Linked DNA regions of Mus musculus. The protein of the gene in region 2 interacts with the protein of the main gene of each other region in a biochemical or structural test. Links are inferred from orthologs where the notes say so. Each region holds a gene or a part of one and is shown on either strand. Other genes may lie near its edges. The genes, in order: Arhgap1 and Bnip2.

Region 1 (12,470 bases), on a different chromosome or scaffold from region 2:
CTGTCACATCTAAGGAGAGATCAGGAATGGCCTGGCAAAGGCCAAGCGGCCCCCTCAGGCTGCGTGTATGGACATGTGCAGGCGTTAGGCTTCCCCAGCATGCTGCGTACCCCAGGAAATCTCGGGTATGTTCAGTGTGGTGACTCCTCAGAGTTGTGTTGCACACGGTGCCCCAGGAGCACTGTGTGTCCTGCTGCTCAAGTTCCTGAGCCTGGAGCAGGACTAGGGAGCTCTTCCTCCTTCCTCTAGTCCCAGAGTCTGTACGAGGCCCTGGCTTTACAAGCTGGATTGGTTCCCCTTCAAGAAACCAAAGCTGAGCTTATGGTTGACGTAAACCTTCAGGTTTGCTTGAGTGAGTCAAGTGCCTCTGCCAGCCTGCTCTGTTCCTCTGTCCCTGGATCCTCACTGGCAGCAGCTGTTACGCATTGGAGCAGGTGGCTCGCAACTGCTTGTTAGAAATCTGCATGTAACACTGGAGCCTTTCCCCTGTGCATGCTTTGCTGCCACAGAGAAATGTGCCCAGCGGTGGTGGCCAAATGCCATTGCAGCCTTTGGGTCAGGGGCACACTCATGGCCTACTTAAACCAGATATACCCCCCAGAGCCAGAACTGTAGGGGGGTGAGGGCACGGGTTCTTTGCAGGGCTCAGCCAGTGGCCTTTGCAGACAGCAGCCTTTATGTCCTAGATTATTAGGAAGGAGGCCAGGGAAGCTGAGCAGAGCATCCTTCACGGTAGCCTCTGCCCTTCAGCCCTACACAATGGAAGGATGCTCTCTAGACCAATGCAGCCAAGCTCAGGCTAGGACCAGGTAAGGCCCCTCCAGTGCTTTGTTGGGAAATGAGAGCTACACCTGGAAATATAATCAAGAGATTTCCAATAAAAAGTTTTCTGTACTTCATAGCTTCCTATTCCAAATGTCTTGACAGCTAGTTCACCAGTCCCACCTCTGCATCACTGAGCCACCAACAGCTTTCATGAGCGAAGGGTGGAGCCTGAATTTCAGAGTCCTGAGTCTCAAGGCTGCTTCAGTCTTGAGACTTGATCAAGTAACTAACAGCCCTGACTCTCTAGACCCTTATATTGTTCCCCCAAGACAGGGCTATGTGGTTGAATATTCAGTGAAGAACTCTTGTAAAATCTCCTTCCAGGGTGGGCTGCTGTTAGCACACTCATAGCACACTCACTACCCTACCTGCAGGACATAAAATCCTTAGAGGGGAGGACAAGCTGCAGAGGATGCAACACACCTCACAACAAGGTTGTGGCTGAGCAAATGAGGGAAGTGTGGGGAGGCGTGGTCTGTGCAGTGGACTCTCAGAAGTGCCGAATAATTAGGTCTGATGTACACACATGCACCCCCGCTATGGATACACATCTGCCTCCTAGTGCACACTGCAACACTGCAGAGCCAGTGTATACATAGTTCTGGATGCAAAAGTCAACAAGATATTTGTGTAGGCTCGGTCCCCTGCACCCAAGTCAAGTCCAGCCTAAAGACAACAGTGGGACCATCAGCCTAAGAATAGAGCTGAGAACAATGGAGTCAGCCCACTTTGCCAGTAAAAGCCTGGGTGCCCTTGTAAACGGCATCGGATTCAGACCATAACACACACAGCCAAACAACACAGCTGTCCAATCTGGGTCAGCAATGGTAGTAACATCCTTGCTGAGCCTCCTTTGGCTGGAGTCTCCAGCAGCTCCATGGCCAACAATGTGTCTGCTTCACCCTTTGCCTGAGAGACCTTATTGCCAAGGTTTTGTTTCCTAGCACCTGAGTAACTGTAAAGGCCCTGCCAGGATCCCAACACAAGTCAACAGCTCTCCCCAGCTCTGGCTGGCTCTGCTGTTTTCCTGGGTCACCAAGCCTGCCACTGAGCATTGCTACAAGAAATCAAACCATCAAAGCCTTGTGTCTCAAGGCACCTGAATCAAGGCCACAGCTGTGCAATGGAACTGCCTCCTTGAAGCTCGGGGCTAGTGTTTACAGCCACTATCTTAACACTGCTGTAACCAGTGGCTCTGGCTAGGCAGCTACCCTGGGCCACCATAGGCCACCATGACCTGATAGCAATAGGCAGGTATCTGGAACCTGCCCTTGACAACTGAAATTTGGGCAAAACATAAAAGTCAAATGTGATGGTTCAAGCTTGCAATCACTACATTCAAAAGAATCAGAACAAAGCCGGGTGCGGTGGCGCACACCTTTAATCCCAGCACTCAGGAGGCAGAGGAAGGTGGATTTCTGAGTTTGAGGCCAGCCTGGTCTACAAAGTGAGTTCCAGGACAGCCAGGGCTATACAGAGAAACCCTGTCTCGAAAAACCAAAAAAAAAAAAGAGAATAGAGACCAACCTGGCTGCAGAGGGAGACCAAGTCTCAAAAAACAACCCACATAAGATATATCTTGGATGTGATGATGCACACCTTTGATCCCGGCAGACCTCTAAATTCCAGGCTCAAAACAAACCCTTTTCTAGTTTTCGGGATGAGATCTACATTCTTGCCAGGTGTTCTGCCAGTCTGAAAGTAACCCTTCTAAACCAAGCAAGGGCATGGTGTCACAGAAGCAGGCAGATCTGAGTTCAAGGGCAGCCAAGGCTACACACAGAGAAACCCTGTCTCAAAAGTCCCACCCTCGCAAACGCACAAAAGGCTCTTACCGGGAAGATTCAGGATTGGTTCCCAACTAAGACTATGTCTATGAATGGCTTATGCCTTTAATCCCAGCATTCAGGTGGGCAAATCTCTGTTGAGTTTTAGGCCAGCCTGACCTGCATAGTTTTAGAAGGCTAGCCAGGGTCACCTAACTAGATACTCTATATAACTCTGGCTAGCCAGGGTCACCTAACTAGATACTCTATATAACTCTGCCCCAGTTGCATGTGATTTTGGAAGTGTGCAGAAGATGAAGGCTGACTAAAGGAGGGACCCCATCTGTGCAGTTCCCACAGAGTCCTCTGGGACACAGCTTCTTGAGATCACAATCCTCAAGCAGACTTGGACTGATTTTTTTTTTTTGGACATTAATTGGTACCTTATCTGGAGTACAGGTTTGTTCATATTTCCCCGAGAAAATTTAGCAGACAGCAGATGGACTAAGGAGGGGACTCCCTAAAGCTCTCTTTCTCAACTATACCATACTTCCTGTCTGGTTGTGAATTTCAGGGTCTTACTTCCTAAACAGCCAAATGGGTTTTTTTCATTTACATTTTTATTGAAATACAAAAAGTGCAAACGGTAAAATACATGATTGGTGCCAAGGAAATCGTGGTAAATGTGAACACTAGATTCACAGTAAGAGCGTCCCCTGCCACAGACTGACAGGACCGGGCAGGAGGAAAACAAGAGGTCCAAAGGCTCCTCAGTAAATGGAGTGTAGCAACACTTGATACAAAAATGTGGGCAAAAGCAGAGTGACCCAGGCTGGGTCAGGTGTGAGGCTGGGGACTGACAGCAGCACTTGTGGCACCAGAGACCTGCTACAACAGTGGTGCAAGAAAGAGCCAGTGAGGTCAGGCCCAGCCTCAGCTGCAAGATCATCAGTACAGATCTCATGGTAGCCAGTACCACCTCTGGAGCTGTCATGCCTAGCCACACCTGTAGGGCAAGGTCACTGCAGGTACCTCCCTGTCATTAGGCAGTGGACTTCGGGAAGAGTCACAAGGCTTCATTAGGAATAGAATGAAAGCTACCAATCATCACTGGGGCTCAGCTTTCTGAAAGACAAGAGGCCCTGTGGCCACCACACTCCCCTAAGGAAGCTGCTAGAACCTATCCAGCAGGGGTGATCTATTAGTAAAAGCTCTGTCAGTCTTCAGGGCTTCTGAGTTTCTGACTCTCCGAGAGTCCCCAGGTAGAAAGTGAGAGACATTGGTATCTCTGGCTAGAACAGGGATCAAAATGACTCCACACCTGAAAGACCTACTATAGCCTTTGGCTGAAGATCTGTGCACATGAGAATGAATGGAGGGCCAGGACTGCTGTAACTGATCCTACCAGACACTACGGCTCTCCCTGGGAGTGGACAGGACCATTTCAATAGACACTCAGATTCTGAGTCTTGATATCCAAAGTGCCAAGTGTGGCAGAAATGAGGGAATAGTACACTCTGGGGGCAGTACCACTTGGGGAAGAACAGACCCAGGAGGCAGAAGTGACAGGCCAACTCTGGTCTTATCATCCCTATTAGCAGGGAGGGCAGGCACAGGGAACTTGCACCCAGGCCAATGCTCACTTCCTAGCAATCAGGAAAGAGAGGACCAGCCCCAGCTACCAGCACAGCCAGCAGTGATGTAGTCTTCTACACTCGCCAGGGAAACAGGCAGGAAAAAGGAAAAGGTTTACTGTGGCTAAATCCTAGAAGAACCAAGCCCAGCAACCAGAGAGGCAGTGAGAGGTATAAGGCAAAGAAAATGTCTTACGGTAACAGAGGCCTCCAGGGCCGGTAAGGTGGGACGGGCAGAGGGACAGGAGGGGCTGCCCAGTTAGTAGGCTCCAACTTCCATCTTCTGGGGCTTCAGGGCCCCTTCCTAGGCAGGAGCCCTGGACTCCAGTAAGGTTAATGCCAGGAGGACAAGTCCAACTCGGGCTGCCAGAGAAGGGGCTGGAGGTGGTGAGCTCAGACCCCCTGGGCATCTGTGCTGGGGAACAATTCCCCTTGATGATCCAGGAGGAACTTAGTGAAGGTGTTGATGGGATTGATAGCCTTGAGGGTGATGGCAGCATCTTTAGCCCAGAGCAGGTTAGGGCCGAAGACTACAGCCAAGTTAGTGTTGGTCATCTTGTTCTGGTCACAGTGGGCAGATATCTGTGGAAGGAAAGGGCTGCAGCTAGAATCTCTGGCCTCTGCCTCCTACTCCCAGCAGCTCCTTCCAGAGCATCCAAGCAATGAGAGCATCTCCTCCCCGTCACCTCACCAGGTGGGCTGAGGAAGCCAGGGGACATCTCACCTGCACCAGGAAGGCAGTCAGGAAATGAAGCACCTGGTAGTTCTCCTCTGGCAGAGTTTGGAGAACCTGCTGTGTCACTTCCACTCTCTGGCTTTCATCAATATCTGTGAAGAATAGAGGTCTAGGTTACAAGGGCATAGGACTAGCTTTGGAAACCTTGATATGATGAGCCTAGCAGGGGGAACCCCAACTGAAATTCCTAGGAGCTGCTCAGGCCCACAAGCCTGCGGGGCAGGGCGAGAGAAGGCTCAGTGCCAAAGGATTTGCACAGCTGAGGAGGAAAGAGAGAACTCACTGAGGAAGCCCACAACATGGGGGTACAGGTCAAAGGTTAGCAAGGGTTCAGGAAGCTCCCGAAGGAATGTCTTGAGGATGACAGCGGGCAAGTGCAGCTCGTTGTACTGGTCAAAGTCCACCGGCAGCCCTTCATGGGGAAGAAAAAGATTGAGAGAGCACTAGGCAAGCCAGGGGCCAGCAGGCCATGCCTCACTCTGTCCTTGTCCACTGCCCAAGCTGCCTTTCCCCAGGACACCCCATACATCTGCCTCTTCTCTTCTGTAACAAGGGATGACTCAGGCCACCCAGAGCCTGAGGTCACTGTCATACAGGACAGTTACTCCTCTACATGAGCTTGAACCCAAGGCTGCAGCCCCTGAACGTGAGGCAGCAAACCTGGATCGTCCAGGCAGAAGTAGGACCTATGTGGCCATACCAAAGGACACAGAAACGTCTGGCCAGAAGAAAACCTGGGACATGTTAACAGCCCTCAAACTCCCAGCATGCCTCACCTTCTCAAACACACACCGAGACCCCATCAATGTGCACACACAGCCCACTCACCCATATTGTATTTCTGCTGCACTTCCCGGACAACCTGGGTGTTGGCAGACCTCCGGAAGATGCCCTCAGTGGTGAGAGCTGGAAACCAAGGGGGCCTGGTGAGTCTCAGCGCTCTGGGGGATGGAGCTCCTCCCTACCCTATCAGTCTTGGAGTTCCAAGAAGGGTCATTGGGAGCGCACTTCTCTATGCCCTGCCCAGAGTTTCTCAAGGGCAGCTGGGTGACGAGGTGGCTTGGCTTCAGCAGGCCTTGGACTGCATGGCACTCACCGTGAGCCTGCAAGTAGGCGACGGTCTCCCTGAGGACAATGGGAATGGGGTCCTGGCCTGGGCTTTTCTCCTGGAGGCTGAGGGAGCAAAGAGGTGAGCTGGGGTTCTGCATACTGGTCCACCCCCACCCCACCCCCAGCCTGACATGCCTGGCTTTAGCATACTCACTGCTGTAAGGAGACCCCAAACTGCTGATTGGGCAGGGGGGGCCGTGGTGGCATGGGCTTGGGAGCTGTTGCAGGGCTTTTCTGTGTGGATTTGAGGAAGTCATCATACCTAGGGGAGCAGATGGAACAAGGGTCAGGCCCCCCGGCTCTGTAGTCTTGTAGCCAACTTTATCAAGTCTTCACTGTGTGATTTTACACGCATTATTTCCTATGTCCTCAAAATAGTCCCACTTGATGTAACGCAGCAAAAAACACTCTAAAGAGATTTAGTCAACAGCTTGTGACAGAAATGGGGTTCCATCTATCTCTGGATCTTGACACTGCCTTTCTCCAGTTTCCCCAGACTCCTGACTCCCACCCAGGTTACTCTGCCTCCCAAACAACACAAGCACACAGCTGACCAGTGGACCCACAAGTCCCCCCTTCCCCCTGCGCACCCAGCTCTCGGGCCCACCCTGCTGTCTCACTTGAGCACTTGGCGAGGGATCCCCAACTGCTCCAGCTTCACGTGCTCGCTCAGCTCACTCAGGTAATTCACGTAGAAGATCTTCCGTCCAAACTTGAAACTGGAGGTAAAAAGAAGGATCTGGGTCAGGCTGGGTCTCACGGCAGGCCTTGGCCCTCCCTGCAGACAGGCTCACCCCAAGCTGGCCACCCTGGCCATCTGCCTGCTGTGTGAGGGGTACATGAAAAACTCAGTGGTCCACCTGTGGCCTGCTCACCTGATGAGAGGCTTAAAGAGGATAAGCAGAGTTTTGATGAACATGGTTGGGTGCACGATGTACAGAGCCTTGATGTTCTTCTTGTACCTGCAGGCCAAGTAGGAAGCTTGTGAATGGTGGAGGAAGGGGCAGAGCTGTTGGGGTCCTGCCTCCATTGATAAGGAGTAAGTTCCTGACTAAGAGAACCACCCAGAGCTCAGAGTTAGCCACCCTAGGCTCAGCCCATCCCTATGTCCCAACCCACTTGCGGTCAAACTCTCGGTAGGCATCCCGTAGCCAGCTGAGGGAGGGCTTGTTGTCACTGGTCAGGCCATGGTGCAGGTACAGGAGTGTGTAGTCACTCTCCACATACTGGTCCAATGTGTGTTTCAAATACCTTCAAGAGAAATGTCCAGGACTGGGGTTGTGGCTCTATGGTAGAGCAGTGTGTGAGCTACAAGTTTAATACCTAACATCATACACAACCTAGCATGTGTGAGCTACAAGCTTAATACCTAACATCATACACACAAAAGACCTGCTCAGACCTGCCCTCTGCACAACAGGTGTGGCCTGTTACCATAGAAACCAGTGCTTGCATCAAGGCTTCCTTCTCCTCAAACCCTCCCTGCTATCATTTGGCTATGTAATCCACAGCCGCTTTCCAGGAAGGAGGTAGAGGGTGGGCCTAAGGCAGAAGTGAGTATGCAAAAGCCCTCATTGTGAGCAGCAGCAGCAGCAGTCAGGGGCCCTGAGCTGCAGACCGGGCTGTGTAAGCACAGTTGACAGGGTTTGACATTGGAATCTCCATGAGGCAGTAACAAGCACAGTCACTGATATTGGAAAAAAGCTTTCAGTGTTTGCCAAGTACCTCTAATACCTCATTCTTCCCTCGGAACAACTGAGGCTAAAGTTAACACATCTTACTAATGAGGGCAATCTGCAGAGGTCAAGTGCTTAGCCAAGGTTTCAGCTGTGGTAGGACCTAGTAGTGAAGTGACCAACTCCAAGACTGCACTCTAGACCTTGGAACAGTTCTGCCTATTTTATATGATCTGTGGTACAGTTTATAAAATACTGTGTTTATGAAAGGACATCAGGAAGACCAGAAGCTCAACTATTCCCATCCCTAGGCTCTTAATGGACCACAAAGCCATACGCCTCATGTTCCCTATGCTCACAGTAGGGTATGTACCCCCAACATACACACACACACACACACACACACACACACACACACACACACATACTCACATTGAGCACACTGGAAAGTTTGGAAGTAATGAACAATAGGGAGGGGGAAGAGCCTAGGGTAAGACCTCTTAGAAGACAGATAATCAATCAGCTCCTTGGCTCTAGTAGGGAAGCCAGTCTATGTTGGACAGGCACAATGCTAAAAACATCCAAAAGGAGGGAAGTCTGAGAGAGTGCCCAGTGGCTTGACTACCGACCTGCCCTAGAGTCAGAGGCCTAATGACTAGTCCCCGGGTGCAGAGCTGGACCAGCACAGGTAGGCAGGGCATATGTGTACTAATGCTAGATGACCAGATTCTGACCAGTATTAGACCAAGAATACTTGAGCCCTTATTCACACTTCCACACCGGAAGTTTACAAAGGGCAAAGGGCTGTCACATAAAACGATGGCATTTGCATTTAGGAAAGGAGCAAAGATGACAGTAAAGTGGACGACACCCTCATCCATGGATACATGCAGTAACCTTTGTGTGCAATAAAGAGATGCCTATCAGAAGCTGGGCAGCGCACCCCATCTCTGATCACAGAAAAGCATGTTGAGGACTCTTTCCTGAGGAAACAGAGGAGTAGAAGCATTCTTGTAGGAGACTGTTCATTCCAGAGTTTTATTACGGAAAAAACAACAACTAAGTAGCCAGCAAATTGTCCAGTATCAGGAGACTGGCTCAATAAATCATGGGACATCTATAAATAGACTATCTCACAGGATGCTTCTACAGGCAGGGCTAAGCTGTGAAGTCAGGCATCACAACAGCGGTCAGCCCTGAGGCAGACACTGGAAGAGCCAATTGGAAGTGGGGTGCGGATGGGGTGACACTGATAGGTATGGAGTTGCTGTTTTATTTTGTATGTAGGTTTTTCTGAAAAAAGGTCGCACTCTGTAGCTCAGGACATGCCAGGAACTCAAAATCCTCCTTCATAAGCTTCCCAAGTGCTGGGACTGAGGCCAGGCATCATCAGATACAGATTCACAAGGAACCAACCGGGTGCAGTGATGCTCAGGAGGCTGAAGGAAAGAGGGCACTTGAGCCCTTGTGTTTAAGGTCAGCTTGTGAAACAAAATGAGAGCTGCCTTGAAGATGAAAAAAAAGTAGTACACTATTTGTTACTTTTCTATGTGCATATTAGTGCAGAAGATGAAAAAACAACATGTTTTGTGTGGGGTTTTGGTAGTAAAAGGAAAGGCGGAGTTTCACTGCTTAAGAGTCTGCACTGGAACTTCTTTTTTTTTTTTTTAATGCCTTTTTGTTTATTTGTTTTTTAAGCTAAGACATTTAAATCTTTTCTTTTCTTTTTTTTTTTAAAGGTTTATTTATTTATTATATGTAAGTACACTGTAGCTGTCTTCAGACACTCCAGAAGAGGGCATCAGATCTCGTTATGGATGGTTGTGAGCCACCATGTGTGGTTGCTGGGATTTGAACTCCTGACCTTCGGAAGAGCAGTCGGGTGCTCTTACCCACTGAGCCATCTCACCAGCCCCGCACTGGAACTTCTTATGTAGACTACGTTGGCCTAGAACTCATAGACGTACAATTGCTTCTGTTTCCCAAGTGCTGGGATTAAAGGTGTGTACCCACTATGCCCAGCTAAATAATGGTTTTTTGTGGGGGGTGTTGTTGTTTTTGTTTGTTTCTTTGTGTACCCTTGTCTGTTCTATAACTCACTCTGTAGACCATACTGGCCCTGAACTCACAGAGATCCTCCTGCCTCTGCCTCCCAAGTGTTGAGATTAGATTCAAATCATGCACCACCACTACCCTGCTAAATAACATGTTTTTGGTTTGGTTGGGTTTGGTTTTTCGAGACAGGGTTTCTCTGTATAGCCCTGGCTGTCCTGGAACTCACTTTGTAGACCAGGCTGGCCTCGAACTCAGAAATCCGCCTGCCTCTGCCTCCCAAGTGCTGGGATTAAAGGCGTGCGCCACTACCACCCAGCATAACATGTTTTAAAGAATGTCTCTGAGAATGTTGTAGACACGGAAGATGAAAAAAATTATATAAGACATAAAAATGAATACAGTGGTTTTTTTTCTGGATGACAGGTCTGTGAGACTTCATAAATTTACAGTTTTTTTTTTCCTGAATAACTACTTATATATTTTTAACTTCCCAAAATTGCAATCCTCTAAAACTATGCATGCTAGATTTCATTATTACCCACAACAACTCTCTGAGGAAGACATCATGTAAACAGAACTCAGAGAGCTACCTCCAAGCACACAGCTAGTTAAAATACAGAGCTCTAGCTCAACTGGTATTTTCCATTTCAACCTCCTAGATCTGGGTGAGGAGTGGGGAAAGCCAAGTCTGATGTAACAGGACTGAAAACAGGGCACACAGAGCCAGTGGAAGCACAGTCTGCTCTCAGCAGGGATGGTGACCAGGCAGGCAGGGTGTGTGGGGGGTAGGCAGTGAGATGATGTGTCTGTCTATCTGTCTGGATGTGTGTGTGGTATGTGATGTGTGTGGTGTGTGTGTGTGTGTGTGTGTGTGTGTATGGTATGTATTTGATGTGTGTAGTGTATGTATGATGTGTGTAGTGTGGTGTGTGTCAGTATGTGTGTGGGGGGGAAGTAGGGAATGGGATGGTGTGTGTGAGATATGTGTCTATGTGTGTGTGGTGTGTATGTGGTATGTATGTCTGTGTGTGATGTGTGTGGTAAGTGTGTATCAGTATGTGTGTGTGTGTAGTAGTAGTAGTAGTAGGGAGGTAGGGAATAGGATGGTGTGTGTATGAGACGTGTATCTATGTGTGTATGATGTGTGTCTGTGTGTGTGATGTATACGGTATGTGTCTTTGTGTGAGTGTAAGTGTGTGTGTGTGTGTGTCTGTATATGTGTGGTATATGCCTGTGTGTCTTTGTGGTGTATGTGTATGTGTCTGAGATGGTGTGTATAAATGTGGTGTGTGTCTCTATGTGTCTGTATGTATGGTGTGTGTGTGTCTGTGTGTGGTGTGTGTGTGTATGGTGTGTATCTGTGTAGAGTATGTCTCTATGTGTGTAGTATGTATGGTGTGTATTTGTATAGTGTGTGTCTCTATGTGTCTGTATGCATGGTGTGTGTGTGTGTTTGTGATGTGAGTATGTCTATGAGGTGTGTGTGTTTGTGTTTGTCTGTGTGTGGTGTGTGTGTATGGTATGTATCTGTTTAGTGTATGTCTCTATGTGTGTAGTGTGTATGATGTGTATCTGTATAGTGTGTTTCTCTCTCTCTGTGGTGTGTGTCTGTGTGTGTACAGTATGTGTATGGTGTATGTCTGTGATGTGTGTGTGTCTGTATGTGTGGTGTGCGTATGATGTATGTCTGTGTCTGTGAATAGAAGGAAGACAGGCAGCTGCAAATTGCCCAGGGATTCTTGAGACTAAAGGAAAACCCCAGATAGGCACAACTTCCTCAGCAACTGCCCCTAAAACCAAGGTGCTTTCCAACTGCCTAGGACTTCCCTCACTGGACCTAATACCTGGCCGCAAGTCTGCTACCTGGTACACCAGGCATGGCACAAAAGCTAGAGGGGGTTTGTAACTCAGCGTCCTTAGGTTGAACTCTAAGGTGAGGATTCCTGGCTGGACATATGATGGCCCTCCAACCAGACTCTGCCTGCTCTATCTAAGGAGCCAAGGAAAGAGAAGTCACAGGGTGGGGTGGGGGACGGACAGATGGACAGACAGACAGCACCCGAGGCCTTATAGACACAGCACAAGGAATGAGCTTCTGCCTCACCACGGGCCAGCTGAGCCTTTCTTCTGTGGTCCTCAAGCCTGTCCCCGAGATCACTACAATCCTCACGTGCACAACATTCAGGGTGTCAAGGAGCTACTGTAGGTGGTGCACATACGTCACATGTTAGAGAGCACTTTAAACTGGCCAGGAAAACGGACATGATGGCCACTCTGAGCACACTGACAGCAGTTTCTACCCTGCTTCAACCATTCTCCTTCAAACACTGGTGGTTTGAAGGATAATGGCCCCTACAGGTTCATGTATTTGAATCCTTAGTCACCAGAGAGTAGAGTTTGAGGAAGATTAGAAGGATCAGGTGTGACCTTGTTGGTTTTTATTTTATGTGTATGGATGTTTTGCCGGCTGGAATGTCTGTGTACCATATGCATACAGGACTTGTGGACGCCTGTAGAACGCATCAGATCCCCTGAAACTGGAATTAGACTCTTGTTAGCAGCCACATGGTTGCTGGGGATTGAACCAGGATCCTGTGGAAGATCAGTCAGTGCTCTTAACCACTGAGCATGTCTACATGTGAGTGTGTTTCCCTGTTGCCTACAGATC
Region 2 (13,116 bases):
AAAATGATTGTTAACTGAAATTTAAATGTGTCATTTAAATCACCAACTGACCAATTAACATTTTTAAAATCCAGAACCAAATTGTGTCTTACAGAATAGCAACTATACTATTTTCTGGAATTCACTGGTACACTGTGTGTGAATGCTGTTCATTTATTATGAAAGTAAGCCATATGGACTCAACATTCAGAAGTATCTATAACAAGTTAAAAAATCTCACTGGATTAATGGTTGGTTGGCCAGAGGTACTAAGAAAATGTAGGCACATGGAGATGAGAAGATAATGTAACAGAACTGACTCTGTAGTAGCTTGAATGGCTGGTGTGAGATATATAAGTCACACTAGTACACAGCAGGATGGTTCTTTTTCACACCTGTTTCCATACCTACAATTACCTAAATATCTGTCAATCAAAAGTAAAAAGGCCAGAACTGTTGTAAAAATATATTATCTTGGCATCAAAGATTAGCTAATACTCTTGTTAAGGCCTATAATATACAACTGATTTTTTAAAGTATGAACTACTATTAAGAAGTAATTGTAGGCACTGTTGAAGCATGACAGCTGCCTGGCCACAGGACACCACATTTCAGAAAGAAAACAGGTAAAACATTTAAAAGGACTATACCTCAATCCTTAGTTCCTAGCAAATACTAGGAATGCCTGTCCAAGTTCCACTTAACAGATGCTTGCCACAACTAACCCTCCCCCCCAGTTTTATCTTAAACATATTTCTGTATTTAGAGATAATTAAATATTTCTCAAATCATCTTTTTAATACTAAAGGAAGTTTTATATGAATTAAGGGCTGAAAGACATCAGTAATGACACTACTGAGGAATGAACACAAGCACAATGGGAAACAATGCAAGATAAATGACTACATTTCTTTTTTTTAGCAGGGGAACATAGATTAAGTGAATGCTTTCAAATGACAAAAGTAAAACATTAAGTTTCACTTTTTACGTGATGCCTGGATTACCTATGACAGCTGATAAAATACTAAAACCTTTTTAAAAGGGGTATTACCAGCACATTTCCTCATCAGAAGCATTTATATATACAGGGTCCCCTCTTCCCCCTCTCTCAACCCCCCCCCCCCAGCTCCTGAAACTCACTATGTAGATCTGGCTGCCCTCAATTCACAGAATCTGCCAGTTTCTGCCTCTCAAGTGTTGTGATTAAAGGTATTTGCCAGCCCCAACTCCCAGTAAGTCATTTTAAAGTCTAGAAAGTAGGTGGCTTCCAACTACTATCTATAATTATCGATGCTATTTTGAGTTTCATCCATTTGTCAGGCATATACACAGCACTGCCTAGAGAAGCAGACCCTACTACCCAAGCTACTAGTTACATACTGCTTTACACAAGATTAGTGAATCTTGTTTAAACTGGAAAGTGCTACACAAAAATAACTCTTAAATGGTTAGCTGAATTCTCACCAAAAGAATCACACTGTTCAAAATTAAGACTACACCAGCAAAGATTCTAACTGGCCCCACAGATGGTTAAAGTAACATATGTACGTCTCTCATCTTAGTCTCTAAGATCATAGTAAGTGACATTTGCTAATGCTGTTGTTACAATTTAAAAATAAAATGAAATCTACTAACAGTGGGTGTGGTGGAGGAGAAGCACAAGCTCACAGTTGGATACTGAAGCAGAAGACTGTGAAAGAGAGGCCAGCCTGAGATACGGAGTAAGACCAGCTCCAAAACTAAACAAAAACTCCCGAACTAAACTATGAATAAATCAGGACCAAGGCTTTTCTAAACTACTATATAAAATGATAAACTATTTTATGCTCTGCCTTTCATCTTTATGCTAAGACATTAACAAATGAAAGGTTGTTACACTCAAAGCAGAAGTGTTCAAAATTAAATTTCAAGTAGAAAGCAGAGTGTTTAACTGTTAAATGGTACACTGAATTTAGGTATTTTATCACATGTAGAGTTTGACTGGTTAGCAGGCTATTTAAGCATATAGAGAAAATCAATGTTGGTTAGCCAAAGAGTATATGCATTGCAAATATAATCATCGACCCCAAGGGAATAAGCTGTTGCTTGAAAATGTCTGTTTATCTACTTCAAAAGCAAAATGCTAAAGTTTTCAAAGGCCTGGGATTTTAGCCAGGGCTCCCAGTCACTTCTCTGGGTTCAGCACACAGAGCAGGAGAGCTCTGATACGACACACACGTTAAGCATGCTCATATTGAGCACGAGGAGCTTGGGGTTTGCCCTGTCCTCGGCTCTGGGCGACATTTATATTTACAAATGCTAGTCTCTGTTTGCAAGCTAACCAACTAGCAGCAGGGTTAGTCTGTGCAATGCAAATGGACTAGTCTAGATGCAACCCAGTCAAGGTGTGCATGTACCTTTTTTGTCTCTTTTTAAACTTTTCTTCTTCATACCTTGGTAGGGAAGAGTTATTTCAGTAAATGCACATTTTGAGATTAAAAAAAAAAAAGACTGAACGTGTAACTGTGTAGGCACAAATATGAAATGCTAACATTTAACATGATGTAGTGACTACAAACCAACTTGGTAAATCTGGTTTGGAAATACTTAAGCCTAAACCCTGAGACCAACAGTAACAGTCAGAGAAATACTGCACCACAGCACTGTGATGCCACTGCTCAACCAACAGTCTCTCCAAGTCTCTTAGAAGGCAGGCGGAAGTGAACGATGAAACAGAAAATTCTAGTTTCTGGAAAATATTAAGACCAAGCTGATTTAATCAACAACTCGTTTCTTTAGCAATGAGTTCTTTCAGTAATATGATAAACTCACTCCATGTGAGAGTGTAATACGTCGAGCAGAAAAGTTACTCTACAGGACTGCCTTTTCAGGAAGTCATCTCTCGGACTGTAAACAGCACTTAGCGTACAGAAGGACTCATGAGTGGCCATCACCTCCAGTTCTGTAAACATGGTGCTGTGAGGGGAAGCTGTGGGGTTCCTTACAAACCCTGTGTTCTGGAATACCGTGAGAGGGAAAAGCATTCCCCTTGCCCACAACCAGGAAGGGAAGGAAAGCAGGGCAGACGTACTGTTTGATGCACTCTGGTATGCCGACATACTCCATGGGAACAAGCTCTGCCAGCTCGGCCAAGTTAAAGACGTATCTGATCTTCTGACTGAACTTTGAACTGGGGAAGAAAACACAAAACAATTATCTCCGTACTTCTGACTCATAAATCTGACATTTAAATACAAGATACTTTTTTTTTAAATGGACACTCAGAAAATTACCTGATAAATGGTCGTGTAACAGCCAGAAGTGTTCGGATAAACCAAGAGGGGTGCACAATGATTAGAGACTTAAGGTTTTTCCTTAATCTGAAGACAAAAAGAAAAAAAATTATACAAAATTTCTACAAATTATAGCACAAAAAAGTTAGATATAAATAAGTATAATGCAAATTTGTACAAAATAGATGGAAAAAAAAGTCACCAACAATTTTCATTCAAGTGTAACATTCTAAAGACAAGAAAATACATTCCTGAGTTCTAAACATCCCTCCGATGCTGTGAAATAGAGTTTATTTAATTTGTCCAAGTTCATGGCTTACTTTGTCTGCTTTCAAATGCCTGCTAGCATTTCCTCCTCCGGCAAGGAAAGCTGATACTGAACATGAAAGAAAGTAAACCATCTTTTTCTGTTCAAATCTAGGGAACAAGTGGCATTTGCTTCTAATATCATGAAAAGCACTAGCTTGTAAGGGGGATGGGCAGAGAAAACCAAAGGAGTGAGCCAGGAGTCAGACTCAATAACACTTTGAAATTTAAAAATGTTCACTATAAAGTAAAAGCTTCTTTTTAGATATTTGTATGTATTAAAAAAAAAAACAATCACAGAAGATAGTGAACATGTTTTCCTAGGGGAAAAAAACAAACCCTATTAACAAGTCAGGGTAAACCACTTGAATCAACGAAGGCAACACTGAACCATTAGCAAGATTAGAGTTGCTTGATTGGTGTGGACAAATGAGTCTCAAGATAACACATTTTTAGTGATTGTTTTAAAAAACTATAGCTGGAAACCTGAGAGATGGCCTAGTTGGTCCAGTGCCTGCAGTGTAAGCATGGGGACCCAGGTCTCATTCCCCAGAACCCAGATAAAAAAGAAGAGAATGGTGTGGTACATAATCTCAGTGCTGGAACTCTCTAGGTACCTGGCTTATCAGCTCGAGGTCTGAGCTAGAGACTGTCTCAGCAACAAAGAGGCCAGCATCTGAGTAGTAAGCTTAGTGACTCCTGACGTCTACACAGAACTTGTGCACCTGCACTGGCCCCACAGGACAGTACACAGCAGAGGGACATTGTCCAACCTTTTCCAAGATGAATACTAAATAATGTGTTCTAAACGGCATAAGGAAGAATGGAGAGCAATCTTGTGTGTTTTGAAGAATTAAAGTCATTCTTACTAAAAGCAGACTCAAGTTACTCGCCATGACATTGTTAAGGGCCATCTTTAAAAAAATAAAAACATTCAGAAGTTGACAAGTAAAACCGAAGAAATTGATGTTATCTTTAAATGGCAACAGAAAGAATACTTTAATCTAATAAAACTACTGTAAAAATCTCTCAGCCAGGTCTACATCACCGTCTATCAATTTGCTGGTAGCATCTCCTGAGCCATCCCAAACTGGGCATTTTTCTTCGAGTTGTCGCACCATTTAAGTAAATGATCATGTAGTTCTCTGCTACCAACAGCTCTAAAGTGCCAATAACATATCTATAAAAACAAATTAAGTATATGTCTTAGACATCACCATTCAGGACCGAACAGACTCCCAAATAAACACAGTTCCCCCCCTCTTCCACAGTAAGAGCAAGCACGAGCAGTAGGTGATGGTGGGACTATTTAAAACAAAGTCACAACAAATCCTGCAGCCTGCATGGCACTGTGTGTGGTCAGGGGACAGGTGGGACTAGGCACTGCATGCTCGGCTTCTCTCTGTGTATACTCGAGAGCTTCACAGTACAAAATGAAAAACTTCACTAAGCCAAGAAAAAAGAGTGGCTTGTCAGCTCACAAGGTCAAGTCCCAGGGATATAAGTAATTTAGTCATATAATATTGAGATGGTCAGTTACCTTTTTAAGCAATGTTTCCAAATACTAAAGTTGGATGAGATAATCTATACTAATTTTAAAATGCAACTTTTTTCCACCGAGTTGGAAAATATAGTTCCATAATGCTAAAAAATGAAGACCTGGGGACTCAGAAGTAGGGTGACTTCTATATGTTGTTACTGTTATTGCCTGACGGAATATATATATATACACACACATACACATACATACACACACATATGCATGCATGCCAGGCCAGAGCAGTCACTGAACTGTATCCCCAGTTCTTCTTGACATTTTATTTTGTCGCAAGGTCTCATTCGGTTGCCCAGGCTGACCCTAACTTTGATCTGTATAGAGTGTGGACATGCCATCAACTTGTGATCCTTTTCCCTTCACCTCCTGAATAGCTGATTATTGGCCTGTACCATCAAGCTGGCTTCTTTCTTCTAGTTTTCACAAGACTTGCATAAATTATGAGTCTAATCAGTTCAGAATTCTGTTCAAACATCTTGTTAAGATACAGTTCCTTAGGAAGGCAGTGGTGGCTCATGCCTTTAATCCAGCACTCAGGAGGCTGAGGCAGGCAGATCTCTATGAGTTCAAGGTCAGTCTGGGCTACAGAGTGAGTTCTAGGACAGCCAAGGAGACACAGAGAAACTATCTTGAACACGGCCCCCCAAAGCCATACTTACTTAAAGAGATTGTCCATCAAATATCTATAGTTAGGCTGACCACTCTCAGGCATGAAACAGACAGCAAATACAACAATGGCATTTAAGCCGTCCCCATAATATCCTGGGAAGAAGAAAGAAGGGTAAAAAGTCTTTGGCATAACTTTATTCTATAGGATTATCATTTTTAACTCTGTATATGTGACTGCAGAGCTTCCAGGTGTACAATGACTATAGGGCTGACCAAGAGATGCAGCTGGCAAAGCAAACTAAGTAGGAACAATTTTATAAAAAAAGCTCATCTGGCCAGATTATAACACATTTTATCCAGAGTGAACTGCACTCTGACCAGGAACATGTGAACACTATTTTGCACAGCACCTAGGAGAACTCCTAAACTGTATGGTCAGAATAACAGAGTGACAGCTTACAGTTTTTGACTGACCTGCAAGTCTCCTAGGGGGAATGGACAATTTTTGTGTATCTCCAAAATGAAACAAACAGTGCTCCACTGAGCTAGGTGAGTTGTGAATGAAAAGCTGAAGTCAAGTCAAGCTTCCCAAAGCCCAAGAGGAGGCTTGTGTCAACACAACAGCATCTCAGTCACATACCAAACTGCAAACAACTCCACAGCCAACACTGTAGCGATGCACACAGTTTACCTGGGCCATGAAATATTCAGTGTTAGAGAATAAGCTAAGCCATGGCATGGATGTAGCTGCTTAGAAGCATGCTGAATGCCGAGGAGTGCACGCTGAGACCAGTCACACAGCGTTCCTTAAGAGGCAAAGCTGGCTGTGGGCTAGATTGTGAGCAGTGCTTATTAGAGAGGATGGACTCACTGGAAAGGTGTAGAGATTAAAGTTAAATGTTCTATGTGAGTGTGGATTATACCTATGTGTGCATATATGTAAATGTTTAAATATACTGAGAGACATACAAGCTTTTGTTGAAAGTCATCTAACTGTATTAGTTAAGTAAACTAAGATAAGTCACATGTAAATGCTTGCAAAGGGTTCAAGAAACTAACTTCTTTTGAGTAGTAAACATACAGGGTGAAACTACTCTACTTTAAAAACTTAGAGTAAACATGTAAAAATACTGTTTAAAAGTTATTTGTAGGCGGCCATAGAGGCCATAACAATGTACCGAATCCCATGGAACTGGAGTTGCAGATGGCTGAGAGCTATCATGTGGGTGCTGGGAACTGAACTTGGGCCACTGGAGGAGCACCCAGTAATCTTACTGCGGACACATCTTCCCAGCTCCTATAGAAGTAATTCTTAGTTGTCCTTTTATCATTTTACTTCAAACCTTCCTAATCCTTGGGCTGGAGAGACTGCTCAGCAGCTAAGAGCACTGGCTGTTCTTCCAGAGGACTCAAGTTTGATTCCCAGTAACCACATGGAAGCTCACAACCATTTTCTAACTCCAGTTCCAGAGGATTTGCTGCCCTCTTCTGGCCTCCATGGAGACAGACATGAGATACCCAAGTGGTGGTGTCTAGACATACATACAGGCAAAACACACATCTACATTAAAAAAAATTAAAACAAAGTATTAAACCTTTGATATCAAAATGTCTGAGAATCTTTCTTTTTCTTTCAAAACAAGCTACTATGTCTAGGCACATTTTTGACAGCGTTAGATTTTGGACATTGCATGTAAAGACCCAGAGGGCCGCCCTAAGCCTCACCTCCATGGCTAATAACTTTTTTGTAGGGCTCGATCGCCTTCATGTCCACCCTGTGGTCCTGCTCTCCAATCCTGAACATGCGCCAGCGGCGTCCATCGCCCTTTTCTTCTGTGGCTGTGTACTCAGTAATCGAGCCTTTCCTAATGACTTCAGTAGTTTTGGGTTTGGGAAGATCATCTGTTAAAATAAAAGGCTTTTGAATCACAAACTGTTATTTACACAATAACAATCAAAACTGTATGTTAACCACTTTCCTATCGAGATTACTCCAAGTGTTTTCTGTTTCCTTCCTGGTGTGCTCTGGGCTCCCCAGGCTCGCCTCACACTTGTGGGCTCAGGTGATCCTGCTTTAGTGTCCAAGCATCTGGGAGTACAGGTGCACACCACCATAACAATTATTTACAGAGAATCTTCAATATATAAGCTGACATCATCACCTTTATAACAAGAAAAGGCTTGTTCTTACTTAAGGCCAATTTATGTCTTTAAAATCAGTTTACTTAAACTTTCTACTGCCCAATTCAACAAAGCACCAAGTTACAGTGCAACATTTACATCAGGCGTAGGAAAGACAGAGCAATCGGAATCTTACTACCTCGCATGCCTTTCCAGATTTCATTCAGGACAACAGTGTCCATCAGAGTTACTAATACATCTTACTTCTAGTAACTATCCGAGAGCCAACAGTTTTAGCACATACACTAATTACAAAACACTGTAATACAAGATAGAAAGTGGTTAACTACTCAGTGATCGTTTTCCCTTTGATCAGTTTTATAAAGCAGACATGTACTTCTGAAGAACACATGCAAAAATTTAGGTAAATTAACATTAGCCAAAGCTCCAATGATTATGTGTAATTTATGTTTGCAGATTGCAGGTTAGTTGATTTAAAATGAAGTAATGATTTTTAAAACTTTAGTATGCCAGTCCTTACCAAAAGATGGGGGGAAGGGAAACCTACTGCATGTTAGTTGTTTCCAAGACAAAGCTGTTAACGGAAAATATCCTTCCAGGAAATGACTACAGCAGCATTAAGGAGAAAAGAGACAAAACACACAGGCAGAAAACTATTTCAGTGTCTGTATAAAAGATTGCTTCTTACTGGGCTGCTTATTGAACCAGTAAAACAGGGAAGGGGAAAAAAAAAGAACAAAAGCTACAGAGTATCACTCTTCATTACCTATTGTCTATCTCTTTTAAGTACAGTTTTGTTGCAAAATTCACTTTAAAGATGAAACAAAAAGATTATTAATATCTGTCTAAATCTCACAATCAACTACTGCCTAGTTCTAGAACGCACACAAAACAAAACATACACCAATGCCTCTGCACACCAACTGCTTACAATCGCAGTGCCACACTGGGGCTAAGCACTCACTACTTCAAGGCGCAGCTTTCTAAGTACAGCCTCCTCAGCACCTTCTCTGCCGGTGCTTAGAGAGTTATTGTTATTATTTGTGACAGGATCTATGTCGTCCTGGATGTCACTGAACTTACTACGTAGACCAGGCTAGCCTGGAATTCAAAAGATCCTTCTGCTTCGGCCTCTGGAGGACTGGGGTTAAAGGGATGTGCCACCATGCCCAGCTCCATAGGTGATTTTTAGCATATTTTTTTAATATGTCTCTTTAGAGGACTCCCTGCCCCACCCCGCCCCCAGATTGACTGACAAGAATATACTAGAATATTAGGCAATACTTTGGAAGCAACTATGAAAAATCAAAACTATACAATATTGGGCAAGTAAGGAAAAACAAAACTAAACTAAAAGAAAGCTACCTTCATAATCTAGTCTTGAAAACTTCAAGTACTTTCAGAATCTTCTACTTTAGAAACAAATTTAGGAACTGCAGAAAAAATAACATATTTCAAACAAAATCCTTCAATGGATTTTAGCAGGCTTTATGTTAAGATTTGGCCATATCATACTTCTCCTAAAGAGAACACCATGGTAAACACTATGCAATATAAACATTCATTCACAAAGCTCATATAAAAAGAGTGAATTACCTTCCCACTCAAACTCATCACTGTTCTCTGATGGGGTGTCTAAGCCTTCCAGGTCAACCTCTCCAGCTTCATCCAAATCATCGGACCACAGAGAGTCTTCACCAGGATCCAGGGTCAGGCTGATGTCTGGGGCCATCAGTTTCTTCCTTACTTTGTTCCCATTAACTTCTAAGGAGCCTGAAATTGGAAACAAGGAAGAAGACTGGGCTACTCAGATGCTCCATTTCACAGAGGAACATTTTAGTCACTTCACTCTTGAGAAAAACATTTAAAAGAAAATTCCAAAATATTCATTAATAAAACCTGGTTGTGATCACCGCTGCTGCTTTCTAAAAGAAGATACATTTTTATTCTATTTGTTTTAATTTTATGTATATGGGTGTTTTGCTTGCATATATGTCTGTACACCACTTTTGTGCAGTGCCTAAGGAGGCCAGAAGAGTTCCAGGGAAACTGGAACTGGAGTTACAGATGGCTGTGAGCTACAATGTGGATGCTAAGAACTGAACCTGGGTTCTTTGCAGGAGCAGCAAGTGTTCTTAATTGCTAGGCCACCTCTCCATTCCCAATTTATTTTTAAGTATGTATATGCATGTGTGTCTCTGTGTGGTTATATGCACCTGAGTGCAGTGTCCACAGAGTCCAGGAGAGGGTAGCGGGCCAGGAAATTAATTAGAAGTACCATGAGATGTCTGAGTGGACTTGGAGAATGGCACTCACTGTCTCTTCTTAAAATAATTATTTACTACTGCTTCTTTGTCAAGAGATCAAGAATGTACCAATTTCCTTTTAAACAACAGAGGCCGACTTTATAGTCATTTATTAAATAGTCTTTTGCTCTTTGTAAAAATTTTGAAAACCAAAGGTTTATTTTTTATAAAGTTAAATTTCTCAAGGATTCCAAAATTTGTCCTTTGACCCCTCTCTATCAGGAAATAGAAAAAAAAAAGCTCAATGTTGTTGGTTTCTCTCTCTCTCTCTCTCTCTCTCTCTCTCTCTCTCTATATATATATATATATATATATATATATATGTAGAAAGAAATGTACTTAAAAGTACCACAAAGTCTTACCAGGCTGTCTGTCTGGATCAGTTCCATCTAGTGTATCTGCTTCAATGCTGTCATCTTCTGGTAAAGGTCTAGAAGACAGAGACAAGCTCTTTAACCCAGAAATTAAAAGCAATTCTTTTGACAAAGATCCACTAAAGTGTCACAGTTATAAGGACTAAACCTATGTTTCATAAGTTCTACAAACCAGCTTGTTGTGCGTGTGTGTGTGTTGAGGTCAAAGATAATCTCAGATGTTCCTTAGGGGCTGTCTACCATTTGAGACAGCATTTGTCACCAGCCTGGGATTAATCAAATAGTCCAGGCTAGCTGGCAGGCTGGCCTGGGGCTCTGGTCTCCATCTCCACAGTGCTGGGGTTACAAGTAGACACTACCATGACTGGCACTCTATTCATTTATGCAGAGAGCTGACAGCCCATTCCTCCAAAACCAAAGACTTTAGCTTAAAGCACAGCTCCCTAAAAACCTGAAGTTGAAATGATTAAGACAAATATGAAAAGATAACCAGCCACATATTTGGTGGAAAATAACTTTCATTTCCTAGTACCCAGTGATCACTTGGAACCTTCTTTTTAAAAAGTCCAACATTCAAGAGCTGACATTTCATTAAAGAAATTCTGATGTTTTGTTCTAAATCCGTTTAATAAAAAGTACTGCTCACATTGGAAAATCTTCATCCTGCCATTCTTCCTTCAGCTCCACACCTTCCATCCTCAGCCTAGACTCAATGTCAACTTCCAGCTCCTGGCAATCCAGGCAGCCAAGGTCCTGGGGGAGAAAGGGGAGGAAGAAAGATGAACAACAGTTTCATTTCCACTTTGCCCTTCATCTGCTGCAAAGGTGCAGCAATCTCTCCTGAAGCTCACATCTCCGTGCCAACAGCCCCAGCGGCTTTAGTTCAGTAGTCTGGTTATGAAACTTGACCTACTGCAGATAAATGGTGTCTCTCGCATAGAGTAGTAAATCAGCCTCTGCCCTCTGCACAGGGGTAGGACTAGAGGCGCACTAGCATGTTCCATGTACATGCCTACTCACCAGAGTCTGCCCTCTGCACAGGGGTAGGACTAGAGGCGCACTAGCATGTTCCATGTACATGCATACTCACCAGAGTCTGCCCTCTGCACAGGGGTAGGACTAGAGGCGCACTAGCATGTTCCATGTACATGCATGCTCACCAGAGTCCAGTGCTATGCAGTGTCTACAGCTCCTTCTCACCACTTCTAGGTCACTTAGAGTCTACTCAGGCGCTTGTCCAGTGGAGGAACTGTACTGATTTCTGATGTACTTCCCATTTGTACCATGCCTCTCTTGTAGAGCTCACTGCTCCAGCTACTGATGCTGTCACATATGCAACTATCTATTTTAAGTCATGCCCCAAAGTTTAATCTTGGTTTTTCTGCACTGACTCACCTTCTGTCTGACAGAGTAAGACAGCTGAGGTACGGTATAAGTCATGAAGGGAGGCTAGAGAGATGGCTCACAACCACTTGAGACCGCAGTTTCGGGGGGGGGCTATACACCCTCTTTTGACCTTCAAGAGTATGGCATGCATGTTGACAAAACACTCATACATAGAATACAAAATAAACAAATCCTAAAAAAGTCATGACTATTAGTCGGTAAAAAGTACCACAAAAACAGCTGGCAAATCACCGCAGCAGAGGTCCTCTGCCTGTCAACTCCTTACATCAGTAACCAACAGAGCAAGTCTCTACAGAGCACTGACACACAATTCTCTATCCCTGAGACACACCCTTGCCCCTTAGTGTAGGCTGTCTTCAAACTTGTGACCTTTCTGTTCCTGCCTCCTGAGTTCTGGGACCACAGGTATTGGCCAGAATGCCTAGCTTCGAGTTTGTCTTAAGAGCCACACAGCATAACTGGAACTACAAAAACAGATAAATAAAAACAAAACCAAAGTAGTAGTAGCTCCAAGTGGTTGACACAGAAAAAGGGCAGCACACAGAAACAGCACACCAATGCCCTTCTCTACTCTAATACCCGATTTTTTAAAACCATGTACAAAAAGACAAAACAAAACAAAAACTAACCAACCAAAAAAACCCAAAAAACCAAAAACCCAAAACCTTTCTAATAAATGAGAACCATTCACATTCATATCAAATGATATTCTAAAAACAAACTAAAGGAAATTAAATCCCTGAATTGTTGTTTCATATAGCAAACTACCTTCATTCCTCCAATGACTAGAGCCTCTACCTCCCAGCTTGAGTCCTTACTTATACTTAGGAACGTCTCAAAGGGCCAATGTTTTAATAAATCTTTTTATTAGTACAGGGGAAAGGTAGCGTGCCAACTTTCTGTTACTGAACTATTTGCTGGGTAAACAACCAGAATAGCTCCCATGGTCTTGTCTACCTTTCTACTGGGTGCTGGGGGTGGGTGAGGAGAATTACAATAGTCTGGGTATCTTTTTCAAATAACCAGAAAAAAAAATCTCAGAAGTAAGCAGGAACTGACAGTTGTAATCAATACACTAATCTCAGCACAGTGCTCAGCACATTATAGGCTTCACAGCGAGGACACCAGAACTGGCAAGCCTGGGTCAACCCCTTAAGCTTCTTTTG

Evidence for each region.
Region 1: the proteins of Bnip2 (region 2) and Arhgap1 form a complex in vitro, tested with the Homo sapiens proteins (2 studies listed by BioGRID). The link is inferred for Mus musculus from reciprocal best matches to the Homo sapiens genes BNIP2 and ARHGAP1.

Annotation. Positions count from the first base shown.
Region 1 is NC_000068.7:91,663,049-91,675,518, reverse strand, and holds the end of Arhgap1 (rho GTPase-activating protein 1), read right to left. Parts: intron 7,323-12,470; coding exon 7,191-7,322; intron 7,034-7,190; coding exon 6,947-7,033; intron 6,791-6,946; coding exon 6,692-6,790; intron 6,334-6,691; coding exon 6,226-6,333; intron 6,135-6,225; coding exon 6,058-6,134; intron 5,868-6,057; coding exon 5,790-5,867; intron 5,374-5,789; coding exon 5,245-5,373; intron 5,054-5,244; coding exon 4,950-5,053; intron 4,808-4,949; coding exon 4,619-4,807; 3' UTR 3,194-4,618; downstream 1-3,193. UniProt on the Homo sapiens protein: GTPase activator for the Rho, Rac and Cdc42 proteins, converting them to the putatively inactive GDP-bound state. Cdc42 seems to be the preferred substrate.
Region 2 is NC_000075.6:69,993,601-70,006,716, reverse strand, and holds part of Bnip2 (BCL2/adenovirus E1B 19 kDa protein-interacting protein 2), read right to left. Parts: intron 11,297-13,116; 5' UTR 11,240-11,296; coding exon 11,190-11,239; intron 10,600-11,189; coding exon 10,532-10,599; intron 9,637-10,531; coding exon 9,460-9,636; intron 7,624-9,459; coding exon 7,447-7,623; intron 5,875-7,446; coding exon 5,772-5,874; intron 4,738-5,771; coding exon 4,606-4,737; intron 3,339-4,605; coding exon 3,252-3,338; intron 3,149-3,251; coding exon 3,050-3,148; coding exon of another isoform or gene 2,896-3,049; exon of another isoform or gene 2,718-2,895; intron 2,412-2,717; coding exon 2,376-2,411; intron 1-2,375.